3 linked regions of the Struthio camelus genome follow. The protein of the gene in region 3 binds, or shares a complex with, the protein of the main gene of each other region. Links are inferred from orthologs where the notes say so. Each region holds a gene or a part of one and is shown on either strand. Other genes may lie near its edges.

Region 1 (7,527 bases), on a different chromosome or scaffold from region 3:
GTGGGCCCAGGCCCTTTGCTCTGCGTGTCTCCACGGAATTGCTCTCACTCAGATGTGGAAAAGGACCTCAAACCGCCAGTGAGTATGGAGCACTCTAGCCCTGCCACCTTTCTGGCCCATTCCCATCCTCCTGCCTGTGCTGCAACCTCCCCACGGCTGCCTCTGTTCTGTTCAGCCCTGAAGCTGCCTTGTAGCTGTTTGCACATGTGGCCGTGTTTGCAGCTACCCGAGCTAGAGCTGGTGATGCTGCCTGAGATACTTCTAGCGAAACAGCGGAGCAGGGTGTTTTGGAGGCTGTTAGAGCACTGAGGGTTTTTATTCCTGCTCGTTCCCTCTCATGGGGAACTGCAGAATAGGGACTGCCTTACCGAGGCCAGCCGGCAGTGACACAAAGATCACCAAAGACATTTCATTAGTTCTGGAGTTGTCTGCAGGCTGCTGCTGTGCTTGGTGGCCGCTGGGGCGGATGGAGGGAGGAAGGCAGGAGCTCCGTGGCGCAGCGAGCCCCCGAAGGTCGGCCGGGGCGTCCCCCCGCCCTGCTCCTGCTGGGGCTGAGCGTTCCTGCCCGGCACAGGGAGAGGCTCCCTGGCCACGCTCCTCCCGAATGAGAGGCAAAGCAAGGGTGGCAGCTGGGCTCCCCTGGGGAGAAGCTTTGCAGCTCCCAAGTCCCTGCTGTGGCCCTAACTGCAAAATAGCACACAGGCTGCTGAACCCTCCCGGTCCCACACAAGGGCTTGTGCTGTCCTTGCCCCACAGCTGAGCCGGCCCCGGGCCCCCACGGCCCCTTTGGGTGCTCATGCCTGCCTTGCCTCTGTCCCCCTTGCTCTAGCGTGCTTGGGGCGCTTGTGCCAACCCTGCTTTCCTGTTTAGACAGCCGCAGGCTTTTCTGAATGCATCTCTTGTGGGTTTTTTTCTCCTTTTGTACTCTCTTGTCGTGAATATCTGTCATTTTGTAACCAAAGCGCAGGATGAAGGGGCTAGCCCCCGTCACAGGATTCACTTACGAACGGAGAACGTTATGCATGTTAGAGTTATTAATTCTGTATTCAGATCCTCATTGAACCCTCGTTTGAAAGCTTTGATGCAGGCAAATCAGAGTTTGTGTGTTCACTATTCTAAGGAGCTTGGAGCAGTCTCTAGAAGGAAGTGTCCTAGACCTCACCTCCTGTATGTTTCCTAAGGCTTTATATAATAAACTGTTTTAGTGACACTTGCTTTCACGTGTTTCTTGAGCAGCAGGCGCAGGGCGGCGGGCTGCCCGAAGGGGTCTGCGCTCAGCCTTGTCCTCCAAAAGCAGAGGTGGTCTGTGGCTCCCTGCAGGTATCTCCCCTAGCTCCACCGTGGGGACAGGCCGGGGTCCTGGCAAGTCCCTTCCCCATCCTCACGCCCCGGCTGCGCCACGCTGCATCGCAGCCCAGGAGCGGCAGCTCCCGCCGCATCCGCAGCGATGGCCCGGGGCAGCCGGCCTGGGTCACCGCGCCGCTCAGCCACGTCCGGCGGCAGAAGCGTGCCCCCCGTGCCCCCGGCCCGCGTGCCACCTCTCGGGAGGAGGCTCGGGCGGATGCTGCCGTCGTCCGCAGCCGGGGTGGCAGCGGGCTCCCTTCGCTGCAGCGCTGCGTGCTCGTTGCTCGGGATGTCAGCTGGGGACCCGTTTATTCCCCTAGCATCTGAAACTATTTTCCGCAGATTCCTTTACGTTTACTAACAGCAGCCACGACTTCCTCTGGGCCGGCCTGCTCGGCCCCAGCCCCGGCCCCCCTCGGCGCGGAGGCGTCGCTCCCGCAGGAGCCGCTGCCGCCGGCTCCGCGCAGGCCGCCGCGAGCTCGTGCCAGACCGCGGCGCTGCCTCTGGGCGTGCAGGCTCCTGGCTCCTTCAAAGGCTCCCGCAAACGTTGGCGCCGGCAGCTAAAGGGTTTTTCCCAGTACGATTCTGCTGCCGTTGCTGCCCTCGACCTGCGCTGGGCTCTGCTTTTGCTGCCGCTGGGCCCCAAGCGATGAGCAGGCAGCTCTGGCCCGGGAGGTTTCCAGCGGCGTCTGTCCTCCAGCAGCAGCACCACAAACCCTTGTTTCTGCAGCGCTGTTTCCAGGGATTAACCACAAAAGGTTTCTGTACAAAGGGCCCCCAGGCTCCTCTTTCAGTCAGCCTCAAGAGCCTCACGTTTTTAGCCAAAAAAGGAAATGACCCAGCTGCACGTAGCGCTGGAACATCTGGATTTTATCCCTGTCATGAATGGGTCATGGATATGCACGGCCCGGTGCCTGGCTTGCAGGAAGGGGAGGCTGATGTCATGCACAAACGTCCCCTGAGACTCCCGGAGCGCGGGTCGGAGCAGTCATGAAAATATCGTTAAGGGCAGGCTAACGGTGGGGCGGGGGCGGCGGGGGCTGCTGCCCCCTCCCCGGCGCTTCCCACCGGGGCGCCGCTGCCGGGAGGGAGCGGGTTTGTGCCGGTTCGGCAGGCCGCTCTGCCCGGACAGGGAAAGCCGCGTCCCGGAGCAGGACGTCGCCCCGGCCCGTCCCAGGCCAGACGCTCGTGCAGCGGCTGCTCCCCCGGCCGCGACCCTCCTGGCGCCGCCAGCCCCGGTGCACGGGGCACCGCCAGATTGCACCCCCTTACTGCTCCTGGGGTGAAGTTTCATGCAACGGGAAGTGGAGGAACGTTAAGTTCAGGATCTTATCTCTGCTTTTATTTTTAGACAGGCATTCACGAGGAAAAAATGACGTACTGAGAGGCAGCCTCTAGTGCGGGACCATAATTAAAGACAATATTCTTACTTTTAGTATCATCCTCTCCTTGGTGAATTGGCTGTTCCCAGGGCAGAATCATCTTTGTCTGCCGTAATTATGCCCAATTTTCTTTTTTTGTTGCTTTCGGCTTAAAGTAATGTAGTCTGCATGGTAAAAAAAGATGAATAATTTATTTGTGAGTTAAAATTTAATTACAGCTTTGTATTTGGCAAAGTGGGGGCAAAGCACTGGCACGAGCTCTCCTCGGCACTACGGTTGGATGTGAAGAAGGCGATTGAAACCGAAGGAGAGTGGAAGGACGCAGGCACGGCTCCCGCGGGAGGGTCCCCCCGGCAGGTCGCTCGGGCGCAGGCTGCTGGGCCGCCGGTTCTGGTGCGCGGCCCACGTGGTCTTTGCGTTCAGCAGCAACGGCCAGCCGAGGTCCGCGTTCGCCAGGTGCCGGGCTGCAGCTGGGACGCCGGGGCAGTGCGGGCTGCACGCTGCACCGCAGCTCTTCTTCCTTCCAGGCCCCAGGCCGGGCCGGCGGTCCGCCAGGGCGTCGCGGGGCCGGGGCCGGGCCGGGCCCCGCGCGGGCGCTGCGGCTCTTCCCGGGCTGCCAGGGTCCAGGCCACGGGGGCTGCGCTGCTGGGCCGGCGCTGACGGCCGCGCGCTGGCCGAGCCGGCGTCCCCGCACCTCGCCGGCGTCCCCGCACCTCGCCGGCGTCCCCGCACCTCGCCGGCCCAGCCCTCGTCTCAAGCCCAATGTTACGAGACGAGACGCGGCTGCTTCCCCGCGCGACTCCTCCCGTCCCCGTCCCCGTCCCCGTCCCCGTCCCCCCCTCGCCTCGCTTCCAAGGAAGGTGGCCGCAGTGCGGAGGCCGGGCCAGCCCCGACCCGAGGCCGACGGCAGTGCGGGGCAGCGCGCGGCACCGGAGGGTCGGTGCTGCCCAGCTCCCCCCGGCCGCAGCCAGCGCTGCCCTGGCGCCGGCGAACTGCGGGGTGCAACGGAGCGGGGAGCCCAGGCGGGAGGCGAGGGCCTGGCGGGGCCTGCACGCCTCCCCCTCCGGCTGGGCCCGGCCGGCTCAGCCCCCCGCCTCGGCCGCCAGCGGGGCCGCGGATGTCGGGGGCGGCAGGGATGTGGGGGGCGGCAGGGACGTGGGGGGCGGCGGGGCTGTGCGAGGCCTCGGGGCTGTGGGGGGCGGCGGGGCTGTGCGAGGCCTCAGGGCTGTGGGGGGCGGCGGGGATGTGGGGGGCGGCAGGGACGTGGGGGGCGGCGGGGATGTGCGAGGCCTCGGGGCTGTGGGGGGCGGTGGGGATGTGGGGGACGGCAGGGACGTGGGGGGCGGCGGGGACGTGGGGGGCGGCGGGGCTGTGGGGGGCGGCGGGGACGTGGGGGGCGGCGGGGATGTGCGAGGCCTCGGGGATGTGGGGGGCGGCGGGGCTGTGCGAGGCCTCGGGGCTGTGGGGGGCGGCGGCGGCGGCGGCGGCAGGACTCGGTCGCCCCCGGGCGGGGCCGGTCGCGGCTCTGCGCGGCGGCGGGAGCTGAGAGGCGGCTCGGCCGCGGGCCTCGGCGGCGGCGCTGCGGCGGGCGCCTTCTGCCGGCCCGGCCCGGCCCTGCCGCCGCCCTGAGCCCGCCCGGCCCCGGCCGCGCCCGCCGCCGCCCCGGAACCTTCGCGCCGGCGGAACCTTGGTGGCGGGCGCGGGCCGGGCCGGAGCGCCCCCGCCGGGCGCGGGCCGGGCCGGAAGGGGGCAGCGGCGGCTTCCGGTCGGTGCGCGGGAGGATGGAGACGATCCTGGAGCAGCAGCGGCGCTACCACGAGGAGCGCGAGCGGCTCATGGACGTCATGGTGAAGGAGATGCTCACCAAGAAGTCCACGGTGCGCCCGCGGGGCCGCGCCCGCCGCCGGATCGGGGCCGGGGGCCTGGGGCCGGGCCGGGCCAGGGAGCGGAGGCCGGGGCCGGGGCCGGCGGGCAGAGGCCGGGGGGCCGGGGGGCAGAGGCCGGGGGGCCGGCGGGCAGAGGCCGGGGCCGGGGGGCAGAGGCCGGGGGGCCGGCGGGCAGAGGCCGGGGGGCCGGGGGGCAGAGGCCGGGGGGCCGGCGGGCAGAGGCCGGGGGGCCGGGGGGCAGAGGCCGGGGGGCCGGCGGGCAGAGGCCGGGGGGCCGGCGGGCAGAGGCCGGGGCCGGGGGGCAGAGGCCGGGGGGCCGGGGGGCAGAGGCCGGGGGGCCGGCGGGCAGAGGCCGGGGGGCCGGCGGGCAGAGGCCGGGGGGCCGGCGGGCAGAGGCCGGGGGGCCGGGGGGCAGAGGCCGGGGGGCCGGCGGGCAGAGGCCGGGGGGCCGGCGGGCAGAGGCCGGGGCTGGGGGGCAGAGGCCGGGGGGCCGGCGGGCAGAGGCCGGGGCCGGGGCTGGGGCTGGGGCCGGGGCCGGGGCTGGGGCTGGGGCTGGGGGGAGAGGCCGGGGCCGTGGCTGGGGCCGGGGTCGAGGGGCAGGGGGGCAGAGGCCAGGGCCGGGGCCAGGCCAGGCCTGGTCCGCACTAACCGTGCTCCTCTGCGCGCAGCTCCGTGACCAGATCAACTCCGACCACCGGACGCGGGCCATGCAGGACGTGAGTGCCAGAACCGGGGCGGGGCTGGGCTGCTGCTGGCGCTCTGAGCCCCCTGGAGCGACGTGGGAATGGGCCGCTGCCTGTCATTGCCAGAGCAGCCAGGAAACAGTGGGTCTGGGTGGCTATTAACGTTCCCCTGTGGCATTTTGGGCTTTGTTGTGTTTTTCAGAGGTATATGGAAGTGAGCGGCAACCTGAGGGACCTGTATGATGACAAGGACGGGTAAGGGCTTGTACAGACACTTCTTCTGGTACTGCATCTGCCTCAATGTCTGCTGGATGCGTTTTACCTAGGAACCTGGAGGGGCTTTTAAGTGTATTTTAAATATTCAGGAAATAATGCTGGTATTTGAGAACATTGATCAGGTTTTGGAGACTAAACCTGGCAGTGCCTAGAGCAGCGCCCAGATTTCATGCCGAATATCTTCATGTGGAACAATATACATGTTTTGTCACTTTCCTGGTTTAAGTCACTGGGGGAGGCCCTTGAGCCACTTTGAACCTTGCTAAGTGGAGACTACTGCATTTTCAATAGGAGACATGACCTGCAGTCTTAAAGTATAAGCCTGTGAAATGCATGTATAACTGTCTGAGGCCACCAAACATCTCCTGCTATGCAGTCAGTCTTACTGGAACATTGTGTAACTGAAATGCAGTACTAAACACGAAGAAAGACTATATTGGCACAAACACGTTACAGACTTCCCTGTTGTAATCTTTTTTTATGAACTTATAGCTTACGAAAAGAAGAACTCAGTGCCATCTCAGGACCAAATGAATTTGCAGAATTCTACAACAGACTAAAACAGATTAAAGAATTTCATCGGAAGCACCCAAATGAGGTAAATAATCATCTACTTCATAAGAACAGGTGACTTGTGGTCTGCTGGGCTTCATCCCTACAATAAGCAGAATTTGTTTTGTTCAATTTAGTTACCTTAATACATAATTTACAACAAAGTAAGGTTTAGTGACAAGTACTAAAATGTCACTTGGGAAAAGAAAACATCTAAAGGTAGATGGTGCTTCAGAGGCTGTATGTAAGCTATGAGCGCTGCGACAATAGGAAAAAATGCAAGATGCTAACCGTGTTCTCTGGGTGCTGTGTATTAGTTTAGGAACACTCTGCTGCTGAGCTGGCATTCAGTCTCGTCTTTCTCATGCTGCCTAACGTCAGATTAAAGGGTAGTGTCTTTTCTTCTTTGCAAAAGTAATGGTGAGGAAATGCTGGCCTGCGCTGATGAGTTCAGGACCTCTCTTCTGCACTCAGAATTAGTTTGGATAAATGTGGGAAAGGCAAAGGAATTTCTCTGCCGTCACATTGTAAAGTTGTTTGCTGTTCTGTCCCTCCAGTCTCTGCACTGAACTGCAGACACCTCAGATGTTGGCTTTTCTGCCCTCAGTAGCAAGGAGAGTCACCCTCTGCTATTTAAAATCTCAGATATACTGCACGTATATGTGCAGGCAGGGTTGCTGAGTGGTATGAGTAAACATTATCCAAGGGGAACCAAGTACCCAGAATCAGTAGGGAGCTGGAGTTTTTGGTTTTGTTTTCCTCTATTGTATGGGGAACTAGGATTTGGAACAAGATTTTCATAGACTGTGCGCTGGATGCCTTTTCAGTTATGAGGTTTGCTACTGTGATTTCATATTGACCGTCCTGGGACATTAGCTGAAGTAATCTTTTATCTGAAACTTCTGTCTGTTTTTGAAGATCTGTGTTCCAATGTCAGTGGAGTTTGAGGAGCTGCTGAAGGCCAGAGACAACCCAAGTGAAGAGGCGCAAAGTAAGTCTGTAGTTTTATTCTGAGGCTAATTTAAGTAAAAAAGTTATGCTTACTTGAGAGGAGTTATTTAATGAACTATAGGGTCTGTCTTGCATGTTTTAGAATTCTACTTTCCTTTTACTAAATTACTTCAGAGAATTGTTCTTATTTCATTTAATTCCTTCTGAACTGGAGCCACCCTGGAAGGTTCCACAGTAGCGCTGCTTCTCTTGGGGAATGTTCTAGTATATTTACGTAGAGAAGCAGCCAGGTATCTCATCACTGAGGATGCCTCTTGCATCATAGACATCTTGTTTAAGCATAAATTAATCCACAGTTAATCCTTTTCAAATTCTAGCATGTATGTATGATAAATCAGGAAGCTTAAGCTCATAATAAAGCTCTTCATAATCTCTTCCGTAGATCTAGTGGAG
Region 2 (7,581 bases), on a different chromosome or scaffold from region 3:
CCTAACAGGGCCAGAGCAACATTATTTCTGCCCTACAAAATACACAAAGCTCCATGCAACAAAACATTGTGAGATTTTTTTCATTTACCAAATGCTACACTGTCTTTAACCAAAGCTACTATGGGTCACTACTGAAATTCAGCTGCTGTGGGACAAAGACACTGACACACTGTGCATTGCAAACAAAGATGGGAGACAGACTGAAGGCTAAAGCAAAACAATGGGGAGCTGAGGGGAAAAAATTGAGCTATACACCCAATGAGTGATTCGTGAGCATCACTGAAAGATGGTACAGCACAATAAAAAGGGGAGGAGAGACTGAAGCAATGTCATCATCTTCCGTCTCACTGTTATAATAAGAGCTGAAAGACTGAGACACAGCAATCTCTTATTAAAAAGATCCTCACTCAACTGTCAGCTCTAAAGAGATGTTCCATGGGTAATTTAAACAATCAAGGACATCAGGAGATAAGTCCATATCTTATTCATGGCCAGATCTGCTAAAAAGACTAATTAATAATTCATACACACAGCACAGCACTTCAAGCAAGCTCACCAAGCATTAAGTATATGCCACGACAGACACCCCGACATACCTTTATAACCTGGTCGTCCAATTTTCACAAATTTCTTCACTTCCACTTTGACTTTTTCTGGTGCAGGCTGGGCAGGAGCTTCCTTAGCTTCCTTGGCAGCTCGACGGGCCCTGAAATCATGCGGGAGGGGTGCTTAGACCTACTCCTGATATAAACAGACTTACGCAGTTTGCTTTTAAAGCTCTTTCTCCCCCTTCCTTCAGAAATTCCACAACCGGCTTTGAACTTCAGCTTGAAACGAAGCTTGTTGGCACCATTGTTTGGAGCAGATCTAGTCCATACCTGCTCACCAGTGCCAGGCTGTTCACTTCAAAAGTGAAAGGATATTCAAGCACAGTGTCCCGCTACATAATTCAAGATTTATAGATGAACGCAATCATACTTCTGGAGTGCCTAAGTAATGGAGAATAAAGCTACAGTGGAGAATGACTTACAAATTGGTCTGATGCTTTTTCCCCTGGGTATGCGCTAAGTAACTTCCCTGAAATGAAAGCAAGATAGAAGAAAGTTAAATGAAGACAGGACTGTTTTTAAACTGGAAGATAATTGTCATAGACGAGAAGCTATGTTACATGTTGACAGGTAAAAAACGCTCTAAACCACAAGGATATTTTAACCCCTTTACCAGAGAGGAATCTTACTCAAAAATTGCAGATTGCTCACAACTGCTGAGCTGTCACGAACTGTCGTGCTTTAACACACACAAACCACTCCTCACTCACCATCTCCTCAGTAATCAGTCATTACATATGCCTCAGATTGTTGCATTTGAAGTTAATATTATTCCAAAATATTTCTTTGCATGGAGATTAAGATAGACTCACCTCATTGTTGTGTAGCGTTAGGCAAAGCTTGCATTCATAAGAACCCAAGTGATTTTTCATAAAATAAGGGTCCTAGGAAGAGAATTTTTAAAGTCACAAGCAAAATTCATGGCAAAACAATAGAGTAATCAAAACACATAATGCAGATTTTTTCCTGCCCTGGACGAACTGAGTTCTTGGGTTTCAATTATTAGCATAACATTATTTTAGGAATATAAAAGCAGAGACAAACAACACTAATTTTGTTAAGCGGTAACAGCAGACCCAAATGCTGTGAAGAAACAGCAAAATATGAACCAGTCCTGAGAAGCCCAAGAATAACGCAATGGCAGCTATTTGAATGCACAAGTTTTGGCCTCTCTCTGTTCAGCCCTTTCACAAATGTTTCTCCTGCATTAAAAGAAACAGAAGTATTTCATTCAAATCTACAACTCTCCACCAAATCTCTCATCTTCCAAACTGTTTCATCCAGGCAGCAGAGCTCTGAACTTAGCCACAGTTTGTAGGACTGAAGTGACATGTCCTTTCCTTCCTAAATACACAGACTGGTCAATGCTCACCTTGTTGATGTCAATCGTTTCCAAAGCTAGCTGCCGAAGTCTCTCCCTGCGGTCTCGGTTACTTTCTGAAGCGGAGGCTACGCCTCCGCTTCCAGTTTTACCTCCAGGACGATGCTGAAAATCCATGATGGGGACTTCTCTACTTCAACTAGTTCAGAAGAACGAAAAAGTCTGGAAAAATGAAGGAAAGCAACATGGGTGATAATTAATGCCTTTCCTAACCTAGACGTCATTCTCCTATTTAGACCCACCAGTAAGAAAAGGAGATGGGCACAGTAAAAGCGTTCGCTAAGAGCTCGCTACAGAACACAATTTCAAAGTCAGTAGGTCTTGGGGCGCTGACTCAACAAGCTGCGTGTTGAGTAGAACCAAAACGATCTAAACCCTAAATAACCCGCCCAGAGACCTTCCAACCTCCTCAACGCCTTCTTCAGCAAAAAGGAGAGACGGATTCCTCCCCCAAGCATTCAGCTGGGCTCCAGCAAGGCCCTACAGCTCCCCTAGCAACACACGAGCCCCACTAGGTGCCCCCAATCCCTCCATCTCGATAACGAACAGCCCCAGAGCCCCATCAAGGGTCCAAGGCTGAGTTGCCCCACGCCCCCGCCACACACGCACCAGCACAGCCGCAGAGCCTCCTCCGCTGAGCCCCCAAACCCTCGGCGGAGGCCAGGGCCACCCGCCGGCCCCAACCCCTCAGCAAGGCCCCGGCCTCAGCAGCCCCAGGAAGGCCCCAGAGCCGCCCCCCCCCCCCCGCGCCCTGAGCAGGGGTCACAGGCCCCTCGCGCTCGCCCCGGCCCCGCAGCAAAGGTCACAGCTCCACACGCGAATCCCCCACCCCCCGAGCAGCCCTCAAAGTCCCCCTTTCCCCCCCCCCCCAGCCCCTCAGCACGGGTCTGACCCCCAGGACGGGCCACCCCTCCCTCCGAGCACCCCCCCCCCCCCCGCGGCCCGGCCCGTACCGGCCCGCGCCCCGCGCCCTGCTCCGCGCACGCGCACGCGCACCGCCCCCCCCCTCTTCCCGCGGCGCGCGACTTCCGGCGCGGCGCGAGCGGTTCCGGGCCGGGCGGGAGCGGTTCCGGGCGGGAGCGGTTCCGGGCGGGAGCGGTTCCGGGCCGGGGCCGGGGCCGAGGGGAGCCGGGGCCGCCCGGCGGCGGCGGCCGAGGGCGGCGGGGCCTCGCCATGCGCTACAACGAGCGGGAGCTGCTCTCGCTGGCCCGGCAGCCCGCCGAGAAGGCGGCCGAGATCCTGATGCGGGTGCCCAAGAAGGGGAGCGGTGAGGGGGGCCCGGCGGGCGGGGACAGCGGGCCGGGGAGGACTGGGGGAAGGGGCAAGGGCCGCACTGGGAGTACTGGGGGGAAGGGACAAGGGCCGCACTGGGAGTACTGGGGGGAAGGGGCAAGGGCCGCACTGGGAGTGCTGGGGGGAAGGGGCAAGGGCCGCACTGGGAGTACTGGGGGGAAGGGGCAAGGGCCGCACTGGGAGTGCTGGGGGGAAGGGACAAGGGCCGCACTGGGAGTGCTGGTGGGGAAGGGACAAGGGCCGCACTGGGAGTGCTGGTGGGGAAGGGACAAGGGCCGGACTGGGAGTGCTGGGGAGAAGGGACAAGGGCCAGACTGGGAGTACTGGGGGGAAAGGGCAAGGGCCAGACTGGGAGTACTGGGGGGCTGGACTGGAGGTAGAGCGGGGGTATAAGGCTGGGGAACAGGAATGAAGATCTTGGGCTTGGACTGGGGGTGCAGCATCGGGGCAGGACTGGGTGCTGGACTGGAGGGGCTCGGGCTGGGGTGGAGGTACTGTGGCAGGACGAGGAGGCTGGACTGGACGTGCTGGGGCAGAGTGTGGCTGGCAGAGGCCGTGAAAGTGGGACTGGGTGATAGGAGAACTGGAGGGATATGCAGATGGAGAGATGTGGAGGGATTTAAGGGAAGCAGGAGGCATCAGGGTGGAAAGTAGATACGTTCCTTTCTCTCTCCCAACGCTTTGAGTGTGTCTGTCAAAATAAGAGGCTCTTTGCTGAAATACTGCTGCAATATTCCTTGCTGTTAAATGTTAAATCAATGCTGTTGCCCAGAGCTTTTTGTCTTCCTGAGGACCTGCAGGGACCTGACAGGCTTTATCCTCAAGAAGTGACTTTTGTGCTGATAGTTCCAGGCAGGGTCTCTCCCTGGATTTGAGATGCCACATGCAGGAGGCTGTATCACGTATATAGCTGACACCGTACTTTGGGATCGGTCCAGCCAGAAGGTGTTAGAGAAATCTGCGACACTTCTGTTGTCATCTTTTTGCAGCCCACTGGGATAAATCGAGACGGTGCATTTCCTGAGTGGGCCAAGCATGATTTAGTATTGGATGCTCCTGCGGCAAAGGTTTAAATTAAAATGGAGCTTCCCCCTAGACTTGGTTGAATCAGCGTGTTGCTGGGTGCTAGCAAAGATGGAATGTGCTTCCCTTTTCCTTTCCGTTGCCAGCTGGCTCACACGCTTCATCCCACAGACTTGCCACCTGAATGCTCTTTTTCTTTGCAGTGTTAAAGAAACGCCTTGTGAAGCTTGTTGTCAACTTTCTCTTCTACTTCCGGACAGATGAAGCGGAGGTATGGAATCTGCTTTTTTCTCTGTGAATTGACTTTATGTACTTTGTAAATTGGTACAGTAACAGGCTGCCCTAGCCAGAACAGTGAGCCCACATTTGCTCTTCTATCAAAACAGTAAAAGCTCCTATGGGTGAGAAGAAATCACTGCCATCTAACCACATCCAGATACTGTTTGCATGCATCTGGAATGAGTCTTTTAAACATAACCATTGCCCAAAACTGCAAAAGATGGAATCTGTAATGTTTAGTTGTAGGGCTGCAGCTTTTCGTGTTAAACTGTGAGCGGAAGTTTATATTATGCTCTCCTGGGAAAAGAATTAGCATTGTTTCTTCTCTTCTACACCAGGAATATTGCTTACATACAGTGCTCACTGTTCCTGAGAAACTTGCATGGTTATGCTCTGTTAATATTATTATTTTTGGCATTCGGAGGCCCTGTTTAGGTCTAGAAAAGTAGAATGAGGGATAAGACATCTGGCTTCAGTTTCTGGCTTTGCCACTGCTGAGATATTATGGTTTTTAAGTGAATTCCTTAATAACTGTTGCTAAAGAGTCTCTAGTTGAAAAATGAGTATAAAAGAAATCTTTTTAGCGTGTGTGAAGAAACACGCTGTGTGCATGCTGGCAAGAGGTATGTGGCATTTTTAGACTGTGTCCATTACAAAATTTAACCCTGATAATGGTTATGCTCTTATTTTAAGATATTTCTTTTCTCCTGCCTACTGAACTGCAGTCACTAATCACTTTTCCACTGAAGCTGCAATCACAATACTCTAGGTATGGCCAAAAGCTGAGCAGTCATTCTTGTATGTGTGTATGTAGACATGCAGACAGATGTAAAGATTCGTCTGTAACTCCCACGTGAGCGTTCTGTTATGAGAGTCGGAGGATACTCCTTACAGCCTGTCTCCTTTACTGCAACCTAAAGCTAGTTTTGCTGTTTTCTGTTCTGACAATTATTATTTTTAAGCATTTTTGTGGGTTTTGATGGAAGGCAGAGGATGTTATTGAATGGATCAAAAGTAATTTGGCAGGTGATTAGTGCTAAAGTAAAACTGTCATGCCAGAAATACATATTTTAAACAGATTTTTCGGTATCTTCTTTGCTGCTTTATTTGTCTCTTCCGTTTTGTTTAGGTTGGACAAAAGAATTCACTTGTGGTTTGCTTTTGTTTATGGCTTCTATCACTCCTTGGTTCTCATGTCCTTGCTCAGCGTGCACTGGGTGGCAAATAGTACCTGCCGTTTGTCTGTTTATCCTGAACTGTTCTAGTTCATCAACACACTGTTCTTAGCCTCTTGCAAAGCTTTGAGCCTGCCCTTACAAAGTTAAATGTGGAATTTTGTTAGTCTTTCTCTGTGCCCTCTGAAATATTTCATCTTAATTTGATCTGTTGAGCTAGAGAGTAAACTCTGTCACTGTCTGTGCATCACAGAAGTGCATGCTAACCCCCAGACTGAATCTGAGGAAGTAGAAACAGAGAGTTAAAAATAAGACTAGTAAAATGAAGCATGTCAGCAGACACAAATCGGTTGCTTAGAAGAACACTGAACGTTCCTTTAATTGTAGACTAAATTACCTTAAAAGCCGCATCAAGTTTTGAAACTTAAAAGTCAGTAGCAAAATTCTGTGGGTTCAGAACTATGTGAGCAAAGCATATGTATACATGTATATCTCGCATGTTTCAAGCTGTCTTCACAGTTTGTTGAGCAAATCTTTTTTTTTCCGCAAAGGAATGAGGCTGTGAGTATGCACGTTTATTCCAGCATCAGCTGAAGGTCAGGAACTTGCTACACTGGCATAACTTGTTTGGTTTTGATTTTCTGTTTTTTACTGCAGTTAGTGCAGAATATGCAAAGATCTCCTGGAAATACAGTTCCTCTGATAGGTTTCCCCTATAACCCCTCCTGGGTTAAAATGAATCTGGTCACTCTCCCCTAGTGATCCATGCCTGTAGCACTGGCTGGACAACATGTGTTTAAACCCTCTCTCCTGGTCTTTTTCTAGCCCATCGGAGCTCTGCTGCTGGAGCACTGCAGAATCACCAAAGAGGAGGAGAACGTCTTCTCAATCAGTGAGTTCTGCATATAGATGCCGTTTGTGTTTCCCTTATGCAATTAAAAATACTATATAAAAGAAAATGTTTTGCTACTTAGTTCCCGCTTTTCCCTGTGTTTCTCTGGTTACACTGGGCCTAGTGTTCCTCAGCCCCTCTCTTTGTCAGCTGCCAGTTGTTACTGTGATGTTGCCATTCCCGAGACGGTGGTATTTCATTGCTGGCTGAAATCGTCAGTGTGTGTGATTTGCACAGCTGCCTGTGAGGAAAGAAGCTGTAAAAACACACTGGCTATGGCTTAGTGCTTGTGGAAATCCCTCTCTAGGAGGGTTTGGTATTGACAGATTGCTGCTTCTGTGCTATTACATTTTTATCAAAAAAAGTGAGCCTCAGATAAACCATCTGTCAGACTAATCTAGCACCAGTCCTCCCGCCACACTGTTTGTCCTTGTGTTGATAGCCATGACTCCAGCTGGCTCATGGTGTGTCGTCCTTTGTAAGCAGCCTTTCATCCAACAACTAATCATTGTGCAAGAGGTATGTGGCAAAAATAACAGGATGTTTCTCCAAGGCCATCCCCATATCTTTTGGCCTGGCTGTCAGGCACAGCTGCTTTTCTGTGCAGAGCCTTGTCTTCTCTTCCAGCCGGGAGGGACCACGTTCTCACTGTCTCCAAAGGATCCTGGAGACAGCCTGAACATACCAACCTGTCTAGGCACCACGCTTGGAATTACCAGGGCTTTAGGACTGTCAAAAGCCCTAGTGAATGAGGTTTCCTGAGAAAAGTGTTAAAAGCGATCGCATTTGGAGTCGGGTTGCGTCCCCATACGGGAGCCCTGAGGTGTATGATGCAGTCTGACCCAGTTACTTCTCAGCAGCAGCCTAGATTTCTGTGAATTGTGTAATACAGTGCAGATCTTTGGGAACAACGTAATTAATTAGATGTCC
Region 3 (7,113 bases):
CTGCTCAGCCTCCTTCCTCTGCTGTTCTTGGGTTTTCTTCTCTTCCTGAAGCAATTTGGCAAATTCCTCAACCTGCTTCTGCAGCTCATCCTTCTGTTTCTCTGATTCTTCCAGCTTTGACTTCAGAGGGTTTATCAGCTGCAGCAGCATGTGGAGATGTTTGCTGATCCGGGAGAGGTCCTTGCTTTGTTCTGAGGCCCAGTAACTCATGTCCATTGCAGAGAGGGTCCTTCTACCCATGGTCTCCTCCAATGTCTCGTGGAATCTGCTCAGAGCCGAGGGGATGTTCTGACTCTGGCAGATGCCGGTGATGGCTTTGCTGACCTCCCGGAGGCTGGCTTGTGCACTAGCACATGAGTCACAGGGTACCAGAGATGACTCAGTTGTCTGTGTGGGGATGCTGCGGCTGCATGTAGACCTGGGAAGCGAGTTGCCAGAGGTGTCACAGTCTGGCACGCTGACACTCTGCAGCAGGCACAAAGAGGTTGACTGGGCAATATCTATGGATGAGGTTAACTCCGAAACAGCAGGTGAACAGCTCTTCAAATGCTCCTTCTCAGTTTTCACACCCTCAGGGGTAGATTTCAGTGTGGAGATGTCTTTTGTGCAAGTCATCTTCTGGGGGAGAGAGCACAGAAGAAAAACATAGGGCCCAGATTGAACAGTGCAACCAAGACAGCTGCAAATGATCCAGATCAGCCTGAATGCAAAGGTGTTAAATGTGGGAATGGGACATCAGTGAGAGCGCAGCCAAATGGCTACGAGGGCAGTGAGGCCTTCTCTTGGAAGGAGAGAAGTTCCAGGAGCTTGGGGGAAGAACAACGTTACCAAGCAGTTGGGGGTTCCTATTTATTGTGCTCCATATCTTAAATATCTTACATATCCATATATTACAACCAAGACAAATGGCTAATGAACAAAAGATCAATTTGTTCACGCAGATCCTGGGTACTCCCTGAGGGAGGAAGCCAGGGAACTGAATTTTAAAAGCTGCTGGGTAGCTTTTCAGCCACTGATACCTTAGCCAGGTGGAGGCTGTGGTTTCACAGTGGAAGGCGTCTGCCATGAAATTTGCTTCCCAGCTCCTGCGCTGGTTACTGTCCCTTCCTTCACGCCTCCGTGCACTGTCTCAAGGTTAAGCCAGAAGACCTGTTATGAGACCATGCCACCTGCCAGGGCAGGGCTCCCTCCTGCTCTGTCACCCCTGCACCACCACACATCAGGTGGCATCCCAGAGGACTGTGACCTTAGCACGATGCTGCATGCAGGCCTGAGGCAGCTTCTGAACCAGGGGGGATTGAGGCAAGGGGTATTTCTGTGAGCCTTGCTCTCGGCTCATGGCAATTGAGGGCCCCCATATGTCCCACCTCAGTCAGGAGCTGCTTGTAGAGGGCTCCCAGTTTCAGCATGCTGTTCCAGTACTTCCGCACCGTCAGCCCCGCCGACATGCAGGGCCCCACTGCCTGCGCTGGGGGGATGGCTTTGTCGCTGAGCAGGTTTTCTGCATAGCCTGTGAAGCTCTGAAGCAGCAGGAGCAGCCTTCTTCGACAGAAACGAAACACAGCTTAGCGCAACAGAGTATTTGGAACAGGGAGAGGGCCCTTGGCATTTAACAGTGCAGGGCCAGGGCTGAGGCAGAGGTTCTCCTCCCTCCCCATTCCCTGCACAGTCTGAGTTGGTCCAAGGAGGCTGGATATCAGCCCCCACGCAGCTCCCCTCCTCTGTCCTGAATCGCTCAATGGAGCAACGTTTGGTGGGATTAAAATCCTCAGGCAGCCGCAAAGATGCAGACCGTGCACTCTGCTTGCAGGGGGTTACTCAAGGGGGACGTACTCTTGGTGCAGTCAGCCAATTCCAGGAGATTTGGGGCACTAAGGCTGCCAACATCAAGGCCAAATATCCAGAAGCAGCTCTGCATGAGCAGCTTGTCTTTAAAATTGAGTATTATTTTACTTAACCCAGGTCGCAAAGGGCACTTTTGCCTCCCAGGCTCTCCCAGGTAGAGCTGCGATTGGGTTCGAGCGTTCCCAGGGTTTTGGGGGGCTATTTAATGAGAGGGGCACCAAGCCAGGGACCACACAACAACCATTGCTTAATAACTTTCTAAAAGGTTAAAGGCCTTTGAGAGTCCCAACTGATCCACAGACCCCAATGTTGATCATAATGATGGCATCAGGGCCCAGAGTGCCTTCCCGGTAGCTCTGATCCCACCCGGGCAAGGGAAAGGACTTGGGTTTTAACACTCAGCGCAGGTGGGCTGGGCTCTGGAGCACAAATCCCACCCTTCCAACTGCAGGTGTGCCAGCACCTGTCTCCAAGCAGAAATGCAGCTACGTGGACACGTTTGACAGGTTGGATGCAGAAATGTTGCCTTCCTTCCAAAGGGAAGGAGCCACTGGACCAACCAGCCTTCTTTTAAAAGGAGTAGGGGATGGTTTGGGCTCGTTTTCTCTTCTCACCTGTCGATTACCAGCTCCAGCAGCACCACGTGGGAATGCTGGGTGAACTCGAGGTCGTTCTCCACGTAGTCGTAGTGCTCCAGCAGCTCCACCAGGTCCAGCTCGCAGGATACTTTATCGGGGAACTTCCAGGAAGGGTAGCGAACAGCCCCAGCCCGGGAGAAGACGTCGGCGATGGCTCCTTGCAGGTCCGTGATGTCAGCCCTCAGGCTGTCCATGCAGGTGGGGCTGCCCAGGAGGTGCGCCATGCCGGGGTGGCAGGATGAGGCTCCGCAGCTCCAGCCTGACTCAGCCCACGGGCCGCCCCGCCGCTGTGCTGCGTCCGATGAGCTCCTGGTCCGATGGGGAAAGGCTGCGGAGGCCGGCCGGCTGCCGGGCTGCAGGCGGGAGCTCTGCGGGACCGAGGCTGAGCTGAGGCCAGCCCAGGGTAGGGACACACATGTGGCACCAGGTCAGATCCTACGTGCCAGGTCAGACCCTAGGCGGCAGGATGGACCTGTGCACTGGAATGGACCCCATGCACCAGGATGGACCCCACGCGCCGCGATGGAGCCTGTGCGCTGGGACAGACCCCACACACTGGGACAGACCCTGCACGCCAGGATGGACCCCCTGCACTGGGATGGACCCTGTGCGCCAGGATGGAACCTGTGCGCCGGGATGGACCCCACACACTGGGATGGACCTCATGCACCAGGACGGACCCTGTGCGCCAGGATGGACCCCATGCACCGGGATGGACCTCATGCATTGGGATGGACCTCACGCAGCGGGATGGAGCCCGTGCACCAGGACGGACCCTGTGCGTCAGGACGGACCCCACGCACTGGGATGGACCTCATGCACCAGGATGGACCCTGTACGCCAGGACGGACCCCACGCACCAGGACGGACCCCACGCACCGGGACGGACCCCACACACTGGGATGGACCTCATGTACCAGGACGGACCCTGTGTGCCAGGACGGACCCCACGCACCGGGATGGACCCCACGCACCGGGACTGATCATACGTGCCAGGATGGAGCCTATGGGCCGGGACGGACCGTGTGTGCCAGAACGGACTCCGCGCGCTGTGCGCCGCCGGGCCGTGGGGGTCTGTGCCGGCAGGGCCACGCGGTGGGGCCTTGGCGGCGCGCCGGGGGGAGCCAGCGGCGGGTCCCGGGGAGGACGGCAGTCTGCGGGAGGGCCCCGGGGGCGCGGGGGTCCCCGGGGGGATGTGCCGAGGCGGCGCGGAGGTGCCCGTGGGGGGGACACGCACCCACCTGCCGCCGCGCCGCGCCGCTCCGACCCCGACCCCAGTCCCGGCCCCGGCCCCGCGGCGCGACCCGCTGCCACGGCAACCGCGCCAGGCCACGCCCCGCGGTGAGCCCGCTGCCACGGCAACCGCGCCAGGCCACGCCCCGCGGTGAGCCCGCTGCCACGGCAACCGTGCCAGGCCACGCCCCGCGGCGCGCCCGCCGCCACGGCAACCGCGCCAGGCCACGCCCCCGAGGCACGGCCCACTGCCCCCGGCCCCCGCAATGGAACGCTCCTCCCCCTCTTGTGGCCCGTTAATGGCACTGTCCCCGGCGCATGCGCCCTGCTCCTTCGTCGGCCCCCGCCCCCGGGCGACCCGTACTCCTCGAGCCGCGCGTGCGCCCGCGCTTCGCCTTCGCGCGCAGCGTGCGTCACACCCGGCGCGCGTGCGCAGCTCGGAGGGGCCGGCCGCCATTTCGGCCGTGGTGGTGAGGGTGCTGCGGGGTTCCGGGCAGCGGCGGACGAGGAGCGGCTCCGGCGGGGAAGCGGCCCCCGTCGCCCCGAGGGATCACCATGCCGGCCGGGCCCGTGCAAGCGATGCCTCCGGCGCAGCCAGCGCCGCCCGCGGAGGGCAAGCCGGTACGGGCCGCGCGGGAGCGGGGCGGCCCGGCCCGCTGCGCCCGGAGGGGCCGCAGGCCGCGCCCGGAGCCCCTGGAGTCCGTCGGCAGCTGAGGCGGAGGGGCGCTCCGGCTCTCCTGGCGTTGAGCTGGGGGTGCGGGGGCTCGCTCTGCTTTTTATGGGTGTATATTTTGGATGCAGAGGCAGCGTTTTGTTCAGTGCTTCCTGTTGCGTTTTAGCGATCCGGGCTCGTTGGGTTTATTTTGGCCGGTGGCTTCTGGGTTTAACCCATTTCTCTTGGTTTTGGGGCGGCTACATTTCCATCCTGTTATTTTTTGCTGCGCCCATAGGACTCACCCGCGGTTCCCTATACGTCTGCGCTAGCTGGGTGGGGCAAATAGTTCACTTCCGGGTAAGTACGGATCCTTTCGTGGAAGCTGCAGAGGATTGTGATTGTGATGGAGGTGAATGTTTGCTGTTAACTGTGGAAGCAGCCCTGCCCTTGGGAGGGATGTGCAAAAGCTTGGAAAAGACTCAAGAAACCTGTCCTAGAGGGACTTAGGGGACTCAGTCTCTCATGTTCTTCTAGGGCCTTCACATATTCTTGCTTGTTCTGTCTCGGTCATGTTCACCTCCTCAGGAGCCTTTTTTGGCCTTCTGTAAAAGCCAAAATCATATGTTGGTGACATATGGTTCTAGCGTAGCTTTAGCTGCCATCCTGGTTGTGCGTTCTTGGTGTTCCCCACGCTAGCGTTAGCATTAGTGCAGCCATGCAGTAAGATAGGGTAAGGAGCTGATCTAACTGAAAATCTGTCTCCTGCTCCTGGTAAGGTTAATTTGAACGAGTATGTTGAACTGGCCTGTTTTATGGCCGTTAAAGCTGTAGGGTTAGTGCACAGGGTAGAAGTGCAGCAGCCTGGACTGATGTTGGCTAAGGCTACAATGCAGCTGCTCCTGGAATATCGCTGCTTAGGTGATTTGGTGTAGCAAGTGCAGTTAGGAGGAAAGCTGTAGCTCCCGATAAATACCCTGTCACTTTCATAGATGTAAATTAACAAGGTGACTCAGCATGGTATTCAAATAAAAATGTCCCTCAAGCGTGGTATTGCCTTCTCCTTCTGGTCCTCTGATGTTCTGGTTCTCAGGGAATGGGAGTGAAAAGTAGAAAGGTTTATGATGCCTTTTTCCTTACAGAATACTTTGTTAAAGTTGTATTTTGCACGAATCCGTCTTCTGACTTGGAATCACCAACTTCTGACACAGAATCAGCAAAACTAGTAGCAGCATAGCGGTGTTTTAAAACTCCCCTGACCCTCACTTTTAAGATTACAAACACTTCTCATGTATCTCCTGTCTTTTATAATGGTGTTTTTTGTGAAAATTACTTGCTAAGACAAGAGGGGAGATATCTTTCCTATCCTGCAAAGAACAGCTTCTTATCTTACTGAAAGATAAAACTATTCTTGGGAAGAGTTCTGTGATTTTTAGTTTAGAGCCTACTGTAATATCTGTGAGGAAAATACCTTGCTGAGTTTAGCCTCTATGAAAAGAAGCTTCTGATGCAACCTCAATATGATTAAGATCTATGGGATTTTTTTTTAATCTAGATGTAATCATTCAGGTTCTAGCTTTTTGTAGTTCCACAAGCTGCTGGGAGTGTTCATAACTTCCAAACCTATTTAGCAATGCTAAATTATTCCCGCATGTGTTCTTACAGGCGGTCTCTTCCACTGCCTCTTGCCACAGTGTTTATAACCTACTCAGGGTCAAGGCTGAAATACTAAAAATGCTGGAAAGACTTATTTATGGTTCCCATGGAGCGGCCTTCCTTTTTATTGCCTTGCTATGTCAGCCTCTGCAGTAAATGCCCTTGACAAGCAGACAAATATTATCTTCTCACCCTGGGAAGCCAGGAATGGGCTGTTGATTGAGATTGTTAAACCAGTTAGAGCAGAAAGGATAAGACTTTTGCATCAGAATAGTAAAATGATTTGGGGGCTGGGGTACAGAATAGACAGTTCTGTCAAGCGTTTGGGTTGCTGGTTAGAATACTTGGTTCTGATACAGCGTTCATTAAGCCTTTTGTAAAGGTATGCTAGGATTGTTATTTCCAATACAGATAAGGAAGCAGAGAGAGAAGGGAAATTCATTTTTCGAGCTAACCGATTCAGGATAAACCCAGTCTCAGTTTGCAGCCTGTCAGAACGTGCTTTCACACCCTGATGCTGGTGGATAGCCTGTTGTTCAAATATTATTTGAATTTCTTTATCTTATCAGCTTTGATTTAGGTTATTACAGCTTAGTATCTTGACATACTGATTGCAAACTCTGCAATGAAAGATCTCTTCCTGTACTATCCTATAACCATCTTATGAATGATGAAGTGGCTGACAGGACTGTTTTAGTTACAAGGCAGCAGTACAGAGGACTGTAGGAAATTATATATATCTATCTATATCTTTCTTGCAGCCAGAAGAGGAGCCAAAAGAGGAAGCAGCACCAGCCAAGCCTGTGGTAGGAATTATTTACCCTCCTCCAGAGGTCAGGAATATTGTTGACAAGACTGCCAGCTTCGTAGCCAGGTAAATGATGCTAGTGTTGTGTCCCGTGTTTTCAGGGTTTTCCATGCCTCTCTACCTCCAGTGCTCCTGTCTCTGTGGATCTAGAAACTGGAGCAGTCGCTATCCTATGACTTGACATGAAGGGAAAGAGAATTGCAGGTAAAAAGGGAGCTTACTTACCAGTGCTCCATTTTAGTAATTAAGCTAAGATGAGGTTTTGTAACTGTATTTTACAA

What was found.
Region 1: the proteins of SF3A1 (region 3) and SF3A3 are in contact, whole or in part, in an NMR structure (PDB 2DT7), measured with the Homo sapiens proteins. The link is inferred for Struthio camelus from reciprocal best matches to the Homo sapiens genes SF3A1 and SF3A3. Residues at the interface, in NP_005868.1 of Homo sapiens: Ala161, Phe162, Asp165, Val166, Leu169, Thr170, Phe173, Asn177, Phe181, Gln184, Leu185, Lys188, Phe195; in NP_006793.1 of Homo sapiens: Glu80, Phe81, Glu83, Phe84, Tyr85, Arg87, Leu88, Ile91, Lys92, His95.
Region 2: SF3A1 (region 3) and SF3A2 share a complex: the UniProt entries of both Homo sapiens proteins name them as parts of the SF3A subcomplex of the 17S U2 SnRNP complex. The link is inferred for Struthio camelus from reciprocal best matches to the Homo sapiens genes SF3A1 and SF3A2.

The regions. Positions count from the first base shown.
Region 1 is NC_090964.1:11,168,449-11,175,975, reverse strand, and holds the start of SF3A3 (splicing factor 3A subunit 3), read left to right. Parts: upstream 1-4,443; 5' UTR 4,444-4,507; coding exon 4,508-4,603; intron 4,604-5,280; coding exon 5,281-5,328; intron 5,329-5,497; coding exon 5,498-5,550; intron 5,551-6,063; coding exon 6,064-6,169; intron 6,170-7,041; coding exon 7,042-7,114; intron 7,115-7,516; coding exon 7,517-7,527. UniProt on the Homo sapiens protein: Component of the 17S U2 SnRNP complex of the spliceosome, a large ribonucleoprotein complex that removes introns from transcribed pre-mRNAs.
Region 2 is NC_090967.1:3,446,953-3,454,533, reverse strand, and holds the start of SF3A2 (splicing factor 3A subunit 2), read right to left. Parts: upstream 3,049-7,581; 5' UTR 2,943-3,048; intron 2,934-2,942; exon of another isoform or gene 2,882-2,933; intron 2,828-2,881; exon of another isoform or gene 2,387-2,827; intron 2,152-2,386; 5' UTR 2,107-2,151; coding exon 1,981-2,106; intron 1,493-1,980; coding exon 1,421-1,492; intron 1,078-1,420; coding exon 1,031-1,077; intron 707-1,030; coding exon 597-706; intron 1-596. Other genes in the region: PLEKHJ1 (pleckstrin homology domain-containing family J member 1), read left to right, coding at 3,163-3,256, 4,509-4,576, 6,585-6,651. UniProt on the Homo sapiens protein: Component of the 17S U2 SnRNP complex of the spliceosome, a large ribonucleoprotein complex that removes introns from transcribed pre-mRNAs.
Region 3 is NC_090958.1:4,787,917-4,795,029, forward strand, and holds the start of SF3A1 (splicing factor 3A subunit 1), read left to right. Parts: upstream 1-4,071; 5' UTR 4,072-4,271; coding exon 4,272-4,337; intron 4,338-6,785; coding exon 6,786-6,898; intron 6,899-7,113. Other genes in the region: CCDC157 (coiled-coil domain-containing protein 157), read right to left, coding at 1-618, 1,368-1,542, 2,460-2,707. UniProt on the Homo sapiens protein: Component of the 17S U2 SnRNP complex of the spliceosome, a large ribonucleoprotein complex that removes introns from transcribed pre-mRNAs.